3 linked regions of the Sus scrofa genome follow. The main gene of each other region encodes a partner of the protein of the gene in region 2 in a complex. Links are inferred from orthologs where the notes say so. Each region holds a gene or a part of one and is shown on either strand. Other genes may lie near its edges.

What was found. Proteins that work in one complex are often made in the same cells at the same time.
Region 1: CNOT11 (region 2) and CNOT6 share a complex: the UniProt entries of both Homo sapiens proteins name them as parts of the CCR4-NOT complex. The link is inferred for Sus scrofa from reciprocal best matches to the Homo sapiens genes CNOT11 and CNOT6.
Region 3: CNOT11 (region 2) and CNOT6L share a complex: the UniProt entries of both Homo sapiens proteins name them as parts of the CCR4-NOT complex. The link is inferred for Sus scrofa from reciprocal best matches to the Homo sapiens genes CNOT11 and CNOT6L.

What each region holds. Positions count from the first base shown.
Region 1 is NC_010444.4:78,132,825-78,137,314, reverse strand, and holds part of CNOT6 (CCR4-NOT transcription complex subunit 6), read left to right. Parts: intron 1-1,541; coding exon 1,542-1,754; 3' UTR 1,755-4,490. UniProt on the Homo sapiens protein: Poly(A) nuclease with 3'-5' RNase activity.
Region 2 is NC_010445.4:53,070,626-53,075,726, reverse strand, and holds part of CNOT11 (CCR4-NOT transcription complex subunit 11), read left to right. Parts: intron 1-2,236; coding exon 2,237-2,389; intron 2,390-5,101. UniProt on the Homo sapiens protein: Component of the CCR4-NOT complex which is one of the major cellular mRNA deadenylases and is linked to various cellular processes including bulk mRNA degradation, miRNA-mediated repression, translational repression during translational initiation and general transcription regulation.
Region 3 is NC_010450.4:73,202,709-73,207,809, reverse strand, and holds part of CNOT6L (CCR4-NOT transcription complex subunit 6-like), read left to right. Parts: intron 1-2,357; coding exon 2,358-2,560; intron 2,561-5,101. UniProt on the Homo sapiens protein: Has 3'-5' poly(A) exoribonuclease activity for synthetic poly(A) RNA substrate.

The sequences.
Region 1 (4,490 bases), on a different chromosome or scaffold from region 2:
TGGATTACAAAATGGAACTTTTCCTTAATGATTCTCCTCATTTTTATTATCAATGATTGTTTTGGGCTTGTGTTCATCTGTCCTTTTTCTCCACTTTTTTTTTTTTTTTTTTTTTTGCATTTCTGCTCTCTTATATCCTAGTTTTGCATTTCTAACCTTGTGGAAAAAATAATCATTCAGGTTAAATTATCTGTTAGAATAGTGTGAGTATTGTGTTAACCGGTTCTTAATTTTGGAGAGGAGGGTTGTTTGGACTCCTTTGAGAAACAGTTGAAAACTGACAGTTTTGTTTTGTTTTTTCAGTTTGACTTTGGAGAATCCATTGTACTGTAGATAATGATTTAACCGTGGGAACAGATGAGTATATAGAGTTGAAGAGAGACCAAAGTAGACTCTGGGGGAAAACTAACATGTAAATGATAGTAACCAGAGAGAAGGAAAACTGGGATAGTATGGAAACTTAAATGCCAAGGAAAGAAAGGTTTTCTGGGGGAAAAAGGAGTGAGTGTTAAGCTTCATAAAGATACCGATGGAGTTGTTTCACTGGAGAGCTGGTCAGAGAAACTAGAATATGATGAGTTGAAGAATAATGAGCAATGAGATAGGAAAAACCAACTTTTAGATTCTTATTTCAAGCAGATTGTTTGAAGAAGAGGTGAGGGTGATAACCAAAAGATGGAAAAGATTAGGGTTGTTGTTGTTTTTTCTCTTGTTCCTATTACTGATATAAAGTTAGGAAGAAGACACTTGAATGCACCTAAATGCTTTTGCCTGTGAAGGAGAGGCTGAAGTTATAGGAAGAGAGAAGCAAACCGAGAGTAACTTAGCCGTGTGCCAGATGCTGTGTGCCTGGGTGCTTTTGAGAGTATGGAGAGCAGAGATCTGGTGGGAGAGATAAGTCTCAACCACACAGATGAGTGTATAGTTACACCTTGCCGTGTGCATTAGCAAGGGGAGAGAATCAGAGGTGGTAGGTGCTATTAAGTGAGTAATTCATACAGGATTCAGGAAGGTTTGAGTAAAGTGATTAAACTTGGCAATTGAAAGTTAAGAAGCAATTGGCCAGATCACAAGTATTCCAGACAAGAAGGGACAGCATAGCATGTTGGAAGCCCTGGGGCAGGAAAGAGCTTGGCATCTGTAGGGAATGTACCCCCACTTCACCACCACCATGACCATGGCCCCCACCCAGAATAAGCACTGGTATAGCAGTGGGATAATGAGCAAGGAAAGGTGTCACAAATTAAATTAGGAAAGAGAAGCAGAGGCCATAACAAGAAGGATTCTTTAGGTTGCCTTAGAGATTCTGAAAAGATCCAGATGGGAGGAAGAATGATTATCGTCCCTAAACTTTCTTCATTCTGACTTTGGGGCACCATTTGGTTTATATAGTACTGCCTTTTCCTGTGGGCTAAGTTTCTTTGTTTATCCAACATGACTGTAAGGATATGTCTTGGAAAGTCTCAGTATTTCAGTGTTATCTTATGTGGGTCCTTGTCTTTTTTTTTTTTTTTTTTTTCTTTTTGCCTTCTGTTTTTCAGGGTATAATTGACTACATCTTCTATTCTAAACCTCAGCTGAACACTTTAGGCATCCTGGGACCTCTGGACCACCATTGGCTAGTTGAGAATAATATCAGCGGCTGCCCACACCCACTCATCCCCTCCGACCACTTCTCACTTTTTGCACAACTGGAGCTCTTACTGCCTTTCCTGCCCCAAGTTAACGGCATTCATCTTCCTGGCAGGAGGTAGTCAAGTACCTTCAGAGGATGACCTCAATTTCACTCATAAACTCATAAAATAATCTGAATATAGGGGAGTGAGGTATGGCCACCAGGGATTTTTTTGTTTTTCTTAATGATGATTTGAGTTTTCAATCTGATTATTTGATAAGGATATAGTATGAAAGCCAGGTGCTAGCAACAGACAAATTCTGAGCCCAATATGCTTTATATACTGTTAGACAGGGATTGGTGTGTTTGCACCTATCTTTAAATTGTTACAAGTAATTTTCCTGTTTCTTCTGTCCAATATAATATTTTCATGCCTTGAAATAGGAAAATGTTGGAACAGCATATTCTCTTTGCACAGAAATCTGTAGCACTACTTTTTTGAGGCCAGTAATAACATCCAGAGACCATCCTTCCATACTTTACTCCCTCCTTTTTCAGACTTGTTTGTAAAATAGAGAATTTGAATTTAGCCTTTATGATTGTATATGCTCCACAGAAGACCTGATTTATGAAATTTTGTACTAAAAAATCAGATTTGGAAATGATTGTATTGTAATCTAAGGCTAAGTTGTTTTTGTTTTTTTTTTTAACCTGTTTCATGTGTTATAAAGGCCAGCTTGTAAAAGAAGTTGCAACAGACTTTCTCTGCTGATGATTTGCACTGTTAGGGTTTAGTTAGCCCTTTTGTACTACTTCTTTTTTAAATCGAGAACATTGCTCTTTAAATCTAAATCTGTTTAAAGCTTAGGACATTTTCTTGAACCAGAGGCAACTTACCCATGAATTCCTGGGGTTTAATATCTATCAGGATAGATAAGCTGAGCAGTGAATGATCTGTAGGCATTTATGGATTTGAATGTAATGCTTGATATATGTACATTCTGGTATTTTAAAATCTTTAACTTTTTTAAGTTAAAAAATTACAGCTGCTTAAGTACAGCTTCTTAACTCCTTTTTTGAGATACTTCCTGTACTATCTCCACTGTGCCTGCCTGAATTTGTTCTCACCAAGCACTGCCTGTGCATGCAGAGAAAATCTGTGCATCCTCTTTTATATTTTTAAAAATACTGTTTTAACATTTGTGAGAGTTTTATGAAAATGCTTTTTGTATGAGCTGTGGCTTTTTTTCGATTGTGAAGCATTGAATATCACATTTTGGAACATGTTCATAGGGTGGGTCCCTGGGTCTTTGCTCACCAGACCCAAGCACTGCTTCTTGGTGTCATTGCACAGTGCTGTTCGTCACCCAGAATACTACTATCATGTGAATTCTTTTTGTTTTCCATGTATTCCTTAGTCTCCATGTTTTTTTTTTAATCATTCCTTTTTTTAAAAAAGTAATTTTCCGTTTATGAAGCAGTATAAAATAAATGAAATGTATTTTCAAAACAGGTCCCTAAGACAATACTTCAGATCATTTTTAAGTGACTAAGTCATTTTAATATGTCAACCAAGCTAAAAGTTATATACCCTGTATTTTGCCCATAGTGCCATTAGTAGAATAGAGATTAAAGCCAGCTTTTTAACTTTGCAACGTTAACTTGTATATGTTCTGTTTTCATTTATTCATTTGTCTCTCAAAAATCAAATGAATTCAGAAGGAACTTGGTCTAACTGCTTTTGTTTCAACTGCAGGCAGGGGAGCAAAAGGACACCATGTATGTGAGCATTAAGAAAAGAAATTGTTGAATGTTAATAGCAATTTTTATACAGAGAATGAGTCATTTTGGATAATGACTTAAAATTTTATGAAAAATGTTCAGCACTTAAATGTGCTTATTCTGTTTTTAAGAGAAAATAAAATTCCATACTGTTTAAGTAAATGAATCTTTTTGTTTTTGTTTTTAAAAATTCTCCAGAAAGTTTTGATCTTGAATCTTTGTCTGGGACCTGGTTTTTCCTTTGAGTTTTGTTTTTTTGTGTGTATGTGTGTGGATTTTTTTTTTTTTATTTTGTTGTGACGTTTTTTGTTTTTGTTTTTGCTTTTTAAGTTGTGCTGACACCAAACACATCCAGTTTATAATCAGTACATTGGAAAGCTGGTAATATTGATATAGAACCAATGCATAACTTTTTATGGGGTTTCTGGGGGTTTTGGTTTTGTTTTGTTTTGTTTTGTAAAGTGTGAATAAAAGGTGTGTTTACTCATTTTCCCTAAACACTGTGTTGGTAATGTGCATCATGACAATTTCCAGAACGGGCAAGCTGGATCTGGTTGGACTGATGAGACCGTTTTACCTACATTATGTAATAACAGGTCCAGAAAGCTTTATGAAAGGGAGAGGGGAGAAGCACTTACTCATTTTGTATTTTTTAATGGAGGATTGTATTCTTATCATAGATACTGGAACTAGAGTGCACTTGTTAGATGCTAAAGGTTTGAGCTTTACACAGGATGTTTTCATCTGTTTTTGTTATTACCTACAGTATATTTGAATTTAGGGTAAGCATAGTAAGATATAGTGGCCTGTTATGTCTTGAAAATGTTTGTTCTTGCCTCTTCTAGGTGTACTACATTCTGTGGGTTAGTTTGAACAGCTTCTCCGAGAAGCCTTATTCAGTAGCGATAAATTAAACCAAGACTTACTTACAAATGTAACCTACAAAAGAGAAAAAAAATTGGGGTCTACAAAATAGACTGATACTTTTGCTAAGCAAGGTTTTAAGTATTATCTGTGTCCTAAATAATTTCCAGTAATCCATACTCCCTAAGATGCAATAAAAACTAGTATGTTCTCACAGTTACAGGTTTTT
Region 2 (5,101 bases):
GCCTGGCACAGCAGCTACCCTCTTAAGCAAAGAGCCCTAAGCTCTTTGCTGTCCTCTGCCCAGACTGAGGATGTCTTAATCCAGTCTTTTCACAAGTACTTAAGGAAAAAAAAAAAAAGTGCATGCACCATCTTCTCTGGCGCTGGCTACACAGCTGATCTCTACAGCAGCCGGCCTGAGATTCAGATGTCTTCATGGGATCCACGACCAAAGTGTATTTATGGCTGATGCGGTTGCATTTTCCTAATTCTCAGAAAACAAGCAGGCAAATTAAACAGAAATAAATACAAGGGGCAGAATTTTATCTTGTTAAAATTTCTGCAAAACACCTACGCTTGTACCACAGTGTGCCAATTTAAAAATGTTGTCTATATCTTGGTCAATAGTATGTTTCCTACCTTTTGTATTTCAGCAAAATGAGATAAAAAATTGCATTTTTCCTATGAAGTGAATAAGGTTAAACATCTTTTATGTCTCTAGCCATTTTTCCATTGGGTTAATGGTCTCTTAAAGCAGATCTGGAGCAGCCACCATTAAAATTGAGAAGAGCAATATTAGAGTTCCCCCTGTGGCTCAGTGGGTTAAGGATCTGGTGTTGCTGCAAGCTGCAGCATAGGCTGCAGATGCAGCTCGCATCTGGTGTTGCTGTGGCTATGGCATAGGTTGGCATCTGCAGCTCTGATTCCATCCCTAGCCTAGGAACTTCTGTGTTCTACATGTGTGGCTGTAAAAAGGGGAGGGGGAAGGAGGAATATTTTTAGGACCTAGAAGTTCCCTGTGCATTTCTCAATTACTGCCCTCCAGCCCCATTATTAACCTGAGTTTTCTGTTAATAGTTTGCTGTCTACTGTCTAGCCCTCCCTCTTGAGCATGCCTAGAGTTTAACCATGCTTGTTCCTGATATCTGTGTATGTGGAAGCACACTGTATTTATTTAGGCTTTTTTTTTTTTTTTTTTTTTTTTTAGGGCCGCTCGCATATGAAAGTTCCCAGGCTAGGGGTCGAATCAGAGCTGCAGCTGCCGGTCTACTCCACAGCCACAGCAATGCTGGATCCTTAACCCACTGAGCGAGGCCAGGGATCGAATATGCATCCTCATGGTTACTAAGTCGGGTTCATTACTGCTGAGCCCCAACGGGAACTCCCCATTTTTATTTTTTTGTACTTTGTCAGGTATTTTTGGTGAGATGGATCCATGTTGCTGACATGTCCCTGTAGTGATGGCGGTGCATGCTGTTGTGGTATTTTCATACAGTGGAATACAGTCCTTTATCCAATCTACCCTTGATGGACATAATGTGGCTGTGAGCTTTCTTTTGTACTTTCTCCTGAAAGTGTTTCTTCTAGATGGAAAGATAAGCATATGCAAAAGTTTACTAGGTAATGGCAAATTGTTTTCCAAAGTTGCTGTGCCATTTTTCACTCCTGTCAGCAGTACATGAGTTACCTGATAGCCTCCTCTGTATCTGTTAATGTCAGCCGTGTTCATTTCTGCCAGTCTGGTGGCTGTGTAAGAGTGTCTTGTGTTCTAGCTAATTTTCCCCCTGGTTCCTAATAGGATTGAGTATCCTTTCAGATGTCTGTTCGCCATTCGTGCATTTTAAAAATAACATACCTGTTGAAGACATTAGCCTGTCTTTTCCTACGATGGGGGTTGGGGGTGTGTGTGTGTGCCCATGGGATGTAGAAATTCCTGGGCCAGGGATTGAACCCATGCCACAGCAGTGACAACACCAGATCCTTAACCCACTGAGCCACCAAGGCACTCTCTTTTTTCCTACTTTTTTTTTTCTTCTTTCCTAGGCTAGGGGTCAAATCAGAGCTGCAGCTGCTGGCCTACACCACAGCCAGAGCATTGTGGGATCTTAGCCACATCTATGACCACAGCTTGCATCAACTCTGGATGCTTAACCCACTGAGTGAGGCCAGGGATTGAGCCCGAATTCCCATGGATAAGTTGGGTTCTTAACCTACTGAGCCACAATGGGAACCCCCCCTTTTTCCCCTACTTTACAAAATTGATTTGTAGGAGTTAAAAAATACATATATATAATACATAAACTATATAATATATAAAATATGTAGTATATATTACTATACTATCTCTATATATATTGAATCTAGCCCTTCGTTTATATGTGTGGTAGGTAACTTTCTCCAGTTAGTACCTTGTCTTCTCATTCTCCCTGTGGGGCTCTCAATTTTAAAACATCTCCTGTCTTGGTTCCCTTTTTAAGAACGCCAGTCTGAGCTGCCAACTCAAAGTAAAGCCAGCTTCCCCAGCATTCTCAGTGACCCAGACCCGGATTCTTCGAATTCTGGATTCGACAGCTCGGTTGCCTCTCAGATCACGGAAGCTTTAGTCAGTGGACCAAAGCCACCTATTGAAAGTAGGTATATCTAATTTAATATGCTTTTTCTTTTTTGGTCTTTTTGTCTTTTCAGGGCCACACCTGCGGCATATGGAGGTTCCCAGGCTAGGGGTCCATTCGGAGCTGTAGCTGCCAGCCTACATCACAGCTCACAGCAATGCTGGATCTTTAACTCACTGATTGAGGCCAGGGATCAAACCCACATACTCATGGATTCTACTTGGGTTGGTTAACCACTGAGCCAAGATGGGAACTCCTAATTTAATATTCTTGATTTTATTCTATCAGCATCCCCTGAGACTTTCTGGTTTTCTTTTTTTTTTTTTTTTTTTGTCTTTTGTCCTTTTAGGGCCATATCCACAGCATATGGAGGTTTCCAGGCTAGGGGTCAATCAGGGATGTTGCTGCTGGCCTACACCAGAGCCACAGCAACACCAGATCCAAGCCGAGTCTGCGACCTACACCACAGCTCACAGCAACACCGATCCTCAACCCACCGAGTGAGGTCAGGGATCAATTGAACCCACAACCTCATGGTTCCTAATCAGGTTTGTCTCCACTGCACCATGCTGGGAACTCCAAGACTTTGTGGTTTTCTGAAACATTGTTACTTTCGTTGATGCTTAAATGTCAATTTAATGAGAAACTTACTAGTATAGTGTCTGGAACATAGTAGAATGCTCAGTAAAAGCTAGTTTCTTCTTTAATAAAAATAACCAAGTTTTTATTACATACCTATCATCAGGACACCTGAAAATAAAATTCTCTGATTTTATTGAAGTTAAGTTTACTTTGTACCTTTAGATTTTGTTTTGGTTTGGTTTTGGTTTTTTGTTTGGTTTTTATGGACGGCCACATCTAGGGAACTCCCTGTTTGGTTTCTTTTTGGCCACAGCCGCCACAGATGGAAGTCTCTGGGCCAGGAATTGAACCTGAGCTAAAGCAGTGACAACGCTGGATCCTTAACCTGCTGAGCCACCAGGAAACTCCTGTACCTTTAGTTTTGTACCTCTTTATTAATCTTATCACTATCTTCTCCATTGAAGTTTTACTTAGAGCTCTTAATTTAAAGAAAACACCTATTGAATTTGAAATAATAGCTACACTTTTTTTTTTTTTTTTTTTGGTTTTATAGGCATCTATGAGGTTCTGATGAAGGCATGCTTTCTGCTTAGGGATAAGAACATGTTCTCCAGACTATAGTGTTATCTTGAGTTTAAAACTCCTACTGTAGGAGTTCCCGTCGTGGCACAGTGGTTAACGAATCCGACTAGGAACCATAAGGTTGCGGGTTCGGTCCCTGCCCTTGCTCAGTGGGTTAACGATCCGGCATTGCCGTGAGCTGTGGTGTAGGTCGCAGACGTGACTTGGATCCCGCGTTGCTGTGGCTCTGGTGTAGGCCGGTGGCTACAGCTCCAATTGGACCCCTAGCCTGGGAATCTCCATATGCCGCAGGAGCGGCCCAAGAAATAGCAAAAAGACAAAAAAATAAAATAAAAATAAAAAATAAAACTCCTACTGTGACTTTCATGTCCTGTACAGTAGTTCTTTGGAATAAATGGGCTTAAAATTTGAAGTTTCAATGTGCAGGAAGGACCACGGTGCAGGCGAGTGTGTCCAGGCATAGCTTGGACTTGATGGGCCACCAGGAGGGTATGTAAGAGGCAAACCAGTCAGGTAGTAGGTGAGTAGCTGAACACGGGGCATCCCTACCTTAGAGGAAATTCCTCCTTTATCACATAAGTGGTACTTCTCCGGAAATGGTTAAAAACATACTTTCTGTAAATGGTTTGTAGAGATTCAAGTGCCAGTTCTGGTGATGTATGTGAAGAAATAGTGTACTTTAAAAGGGATGATTTTTTTTTTTTTGGAATCTATTTACTCTTTTTTTTGGCTGCACCTGTGGCTTGTGGAAGTTCTCAGACCAGAGATTTAAATGGTATTTTTTTTTAACTGAAGTAGTTGATTTACAATGTTGTGTTAATTTCTGCTGTACAGCAGTGTGATTCAGTTATACATGTGGGTACATTCTGTTTCATACTCCTTCCTTCCTCTCTTCCTCTCTCCCCCAACGGGAACTTCTGCAGTCAGATTCTTAACCCACTGTGCCACAGCAGGAACTCCTCATATTCTCTGCCGTTACGGTTTTGATAGGATGTTGAATACAGCTCCCTGTACTCTACAGTAGGTCCTTGTTGGTTATCCATCCTGTATAGACTAGTTTGCATCTGTTAATCCCAAGCTCCCAATCCTCTCCCTCTCCACTCCGTCCCCCTGGCAACCACAAGTCTGTTCTTTATTTCTTTGAGTCTGTTTCTGTTTCATAGATAAGTGCATTTGTGTCGTATTTTAGATTCCACATATGTGATATCATATGATATTTGTCTTAATCTGCTTATTCCACTCAGTATGATCATCTCTAGGTCCATCCATGTTGCTGCACATGGCATTATTTCATTCTTTTTATGGCTGAGTAGTATTCCATTGTGTATATACCACGTCTTTAGCCACTCCTGTCAGTGGACATTTAGGTTGCTTCCATGTCTTGGCTATTGTGCATAGTGCTCCAATGAACATAGGGGGATGCATATATCCTTTTGAATTATGTTTTTCTCCAGATAGATGCCCAGGAGTGGGGTTGCTGGATCACATGTAAACTCAAAATCTTTTTTGAGGAGACTCCAGACTCAAAAAAAATTTTCCATTGTGGCTGCACCAACTTACACTCCC
Region 3 (5,101 bases), on a different chromosome or scaffold from region 2:
TAGGACAGTTGGGAAGCCTTCCCCACCCCCATACCTGAGGTGAAAGTGGCAGGAGCTCTTGTCAGAACTTGAAAAAAGTAGTTGTGAGAAGAGGGCCTGTAATAGGAGTGATGGATTTGAATTGTGATGCAGTCAATCTCTAGCAAACCAACAAAAAGGGAGCCCAAGGAATATATATTCCTCCTTCACTCTGCTCCTGTCCTATGAACTCTTGCCACTGCTCCGTATTCACCAGTCCAGCTAGAGGGTCTGCAGTCGATGCAAGTCAAGGTCCGCCTCCAGTGACATGGGCTGCAGTGGAGAGACTGGAAGAGGCAAGCAGAAAGTTTCAGTACAGGTAGCCATCCAGTTTAATAGTTGGAAACTTTGAAGTGAATTCATTAAGTTATACTTGAACACTGATATTAGGTACAGAAGAGTGACCAAAATTATCTCAGAATTTCACATTACTTTTTGAGCTCCACTTAACTACTTTATGTCCTAACTTAAATTGTTTTTGATCTGTATCTTAAGATACTAAATTCAAAGGTAAAAACAGTAAAGTATTGCTGTTTTGCTATTACCAATGCATATTCTAAATTTTGTATATTTGCAGTGAGCTATTTTAAATTATTTAAAGTAACCATTCAACATAAATATAAGATGACCCAAATGCCCTCAATTGTAAATATTAATAAAATTCTCAAATCTAGAAAGCCTCTTTTCCTTTTCTTCTTAGCAAATAAATACTGAAATTGTCCTTTCACAAATATTTGTCTTGAGCCTCTAGCTAGCCTTGCTGACACCTTAACCATGTCCTTCTTTTTTAATTCTTTCTTTGAGTGATTTGCTCTCAAGCACAAGTTTCCCCATCTCATTTGATTTGTTTAAACCAGTCAACATCATAGTACGGTGTGCCGACTGGAGCCAGGCTATCAGGGCTGGATGCTGGATCTACCACGTAGGAGCTATGCAATCTGTGACTAAGTTCTTCATTTTTAAATGAAAGGATAATCATTTTATCTCCTTTATAGAATTATTTGTGAGGTTTAAGTGTTTAAAGCTCTTACAACAGTGCCTGGCATATAGTAAATGCTAGATAAACCATAGCTGCTTTCCAGCTATTCACAATATTGATGTTGCACTCACCATTTATTCATTATATGTTGCTGTCATCCCTGGTCGCAGAAAGAGGTGACTGACAGTGCTCACTAATAATCAACATAAGAAGGGTATTTTTTTTTTCATTTTTACTTGCTATTCATTATATTCATTATATTCATTGGAAGCAGTGTACTTTTTTTGAATGCTTCTACTCTCTTCAGCTTTTTATTATTACTGTTATTTTATTTTTTAAATTATATTTTTAAGGCTGTACCTGCAGCATACGGAAGTTCCTGGGCTAGGAGTCAATTCGGGACTATAGCTGGGGCCTGTGCCACAGCCAGAGCAACACCAGTTCTGAACTGCCCCTGCAATCTATGCCGCAGCTTGTGCAGTATGGGATCCTTAACCCACTGATTGAGGCCAGGGATGGGACCTACATCTTCATGGACCCTATGTCAAGTTCTTAACCCTTTGAGCCACAACAGGAACTCCCTCTCTTCAGTTTTTTAGATACATCTAATATTTTTGACCAAGTGGTATACCTCATGCCCTGTTTAGTTTCATACTGAAAAAATTCACTGTAGCTCAAAACAAAAAAGTAATGCCACCTAGTACTGCAACTAGACATTGCAATGTCTATTTTTGTCATCAGCAATTTTTTGTTTTGTTTTGTTTTTAGCTACACCCATGGCATGCATAAAATCTTAAGCCAGGGATAGAACCTGCACCACAGCAGTGACCTGAGCCACTGCAGTGACCCTAGCCATTGCAGTGACAGCTCTGGATCCTTAGCCACAAAGGAACTCCTATTGTCAGTGATTTAAAAAAATTTTTATTGCATATGTTATATTTTACGTGTTCTGAAAGTGGTTGATTGACTGCATAGAATTGGTGAAATACTAAAGAGGTAGTGGTTGGGCTAATACTCTAAAAATGTTTAGGGTTAAGACCTTCTTGGTGAATCCCACTCTAGACCCTAGGAATCATCTTCAGCTTGAAGAACCATTAGGAAAACTGAAGATATTTCTGGGTGATCCTGATATTTTTGTTTTGAAATAGGCAAATACCCTTCAGTTCGAATCACAGGAAATTGTTGATTTTTGATTTTTTTTTAACATTAACGACAAAAAGGCAGTTTCATATGTAAAGGTGCAGTGTGATGAAACCACTCTGAACCTGGTGTGAGCACTTGGCAGCACATTTTGGCCATGAGGTCTTCTGTAAGCTCTAAATGCTGAAAGGCAGTGTTTCTTCCTTCTTTATTTTTCTAGGTGTTGTGGAATATTTAAGCAATGGAGGAGTAGCTGACAACCATAAAGACTTCAAGGAACTAAGGTACAATGAGTGTCTTATGAACTTCAGCTGCAATGGAAAGAATGGAAGCTCAGAAGGGAGAATCACACATGGCTTCCAACTGAAGAGCGCCTATGAAAATAACTTGATGCCTTACACCAATTACACCTTTGATTTCAAAGTGAGTGACAGCCCCTGGGCTGACATAGAAATTATTTCAAATGCAAACATGTGACAAGAAAGGTATATGTTATTTATGCTCAATTGTATAATCTTCAGGAATTTTTAGATTCTCAAAATGTCTTGGCTGAGTGTGCACTGAAATATAAGGAGATTTGTTAGGTTTTGTGGTTTTTATTGTTGACTTGAAAAATTTTAACCCTCATTTGGTCAAATTTCATATTGCTGTGTGTGTGCCAGGCACTGTTCAAAGGCACTTTATATTTATTAATGTAGTCAATATTCACTTGTCCATACCATCCCTAACTTTCAGTAAGGATCTGAAGCATAAGCAGCTTGATATAGATAGCTAAACTCACCATGAATGACATTGTATCGTATTCCCTCAAAATTCTGTTAGGACTTTCCATTATATCTTACTTATTTCAAAAATTTCCAGTTTTCTTTGGGAGATAGAATGAGAGAGGGTTGTACTTAGGGTCTGTTTTACATCCATATTGTCATACTAATATATTTGTAGGCAGTAGACCACTCCAGCTTGATAAAAGGACAAGAAAGATTTTTCTTTATAAAATAAGATAAAAACAGAGGGCCAGTTGTTCTTTTGAAACATTGATTGGTAGTGGTTTTCTGCAGTTATTAGTCCCTTTCCCTTTGCCACTTTTCTGATCACCCTGTCTGCCTATAGCTTTCCTGCTGTACCTTTGTTTGACTTTGTAGCATTTCAGGCATCTATACTAAAATCTTATACTGTCCTAAAAAAATGCAGATGGTAGAAAGTGGTTAAGAGTAAGAAGCCTAGAGAGAATTTAATAAAATACAAAAGGAAATTTATGAAATGGGCCCTTATACATCTCTGGAAACCTTTTTCCATTTTCAATGCTTGTTAGCCTCTTCCCAAGAAACAGTAGGAAGAAGATAGGAAATTCATGTGCCGATGTTATTGGTCAGTTTTTATAAGAAAGAAGTGGGAAAAAATGTTTAGAAATTGAATCTAGTTTTAGTATTTTTGCTGTAAGAGTAGATAATACTATTCAGAGATAATTTATTTTGTTCAGATGATTCATGTGCAGAAATGTGCTGATAAATATTTAATAACTAGCTTTTTGAGAAAGAAGAAGCCTAAATTTATAGTGTTGGCTGATTTCTGTGGTACAGGTACTCTCATTGTGGTAGATTTCAAGCTCCCAACATAATACCATTGAACACAGAATTGGGATGAAGTGCTAAGAAAGCAGATCCTAGCTGACTATCACACCCCTGCCCCTGTGTAAGCTTAAAGGAAAACCTCTGGATTTCACGATACACAGTTTACTATAGGTTAAGCTGTATACACCGGTATGTAATACATCTCTGCGAACACAACCCACAACCTAAAAAAAAGTTCCTTAAAGTAAGTGTTCAGTGATTCTACAACTCTTGTTGTTTTGGTACATGTGTAGGAAAAAGACCAGGTCACTTCTACCTTAACTAGGCTTCTATACAGGTTATTTTATCCATAAAGTCAATATTGGGAAAAAAAAATTTGGAATATTAATCTAAGCTATCTTATTTCCTCAGACATCTCATTTGCTTTAAAATCTTTTGTTGATGTTTCCTCAAAAGATTTTATATGTGTTAATAATTGAATAAAACATCCTAATGAACCATTTATATTGTCTGAAGAAGTACAGTGAAAGAACCAAAAGTACATGGCTCAGGGAGTGTTTGCTATTTGCATATGTAGGATAGGATGAGAAAGGACAGAACTACAAACCTGTGTGAGAGGGTCATGAATGGGAAGATAAATACACTGGCTGGCTGGGTAGATGGACAGGAAGCTGAAATAAGATGGGAAAGAAGGATGATCAGAACAAACTAAGGGTATCCCTGCCTAGAGAGAGAATTAAGCTTTTAGTCCAAGTAACCCACAGTAAGCTTTTCAGTTTCTTACTAAGCATTTTATGTGCTGTACCAATATTGAAGGGACTTGGTTAAAAAGGATAGGTAGCATCAAATATATAAATGTCTTGTGGGGAGTTCTCTTGTGGTGCAGCGGGTTAAAGATCCGGTGTTATCGCTGCAACAGCTTGGGTTGCTGCTGTGGTGCAGGTTTGATCCCTGGCCTGGTTACTTTTATATGCTATGGGCTCAGCCAACAAGTAAAAAAATTAAAATGTCATGTGGGTATGGAGTTCCTGTTGTGGCGCAGCAGAAACGAATCTGACTGGGAACCATGAGGTTGTGGGTTCGATCTCTGACCTTGCTCAGGGGGCTAGGGATCCAGTGTGGCTGTGGCTGTGGCTATGGCTGTGGCGTATGCCAGCAACTACAGCTCCGATTTGACCCCTAGCCTGGAACCTCCATATGCAGCGGGTACACCACTGAAAAGCAAAAGCAAAAAAAAAAAAAAAAAAAAAAGTCATGTGATTATCATTAAAACCAGAACCAGATATAGTATATAGTATTCTGCCATTGCGTGAATGGAGTGCTGTTAAGTTTTCTTTACTTGGCTTAGCATTTGTTTACTTTCTTGGTTCTCGAATAAATTAGAACTATAATT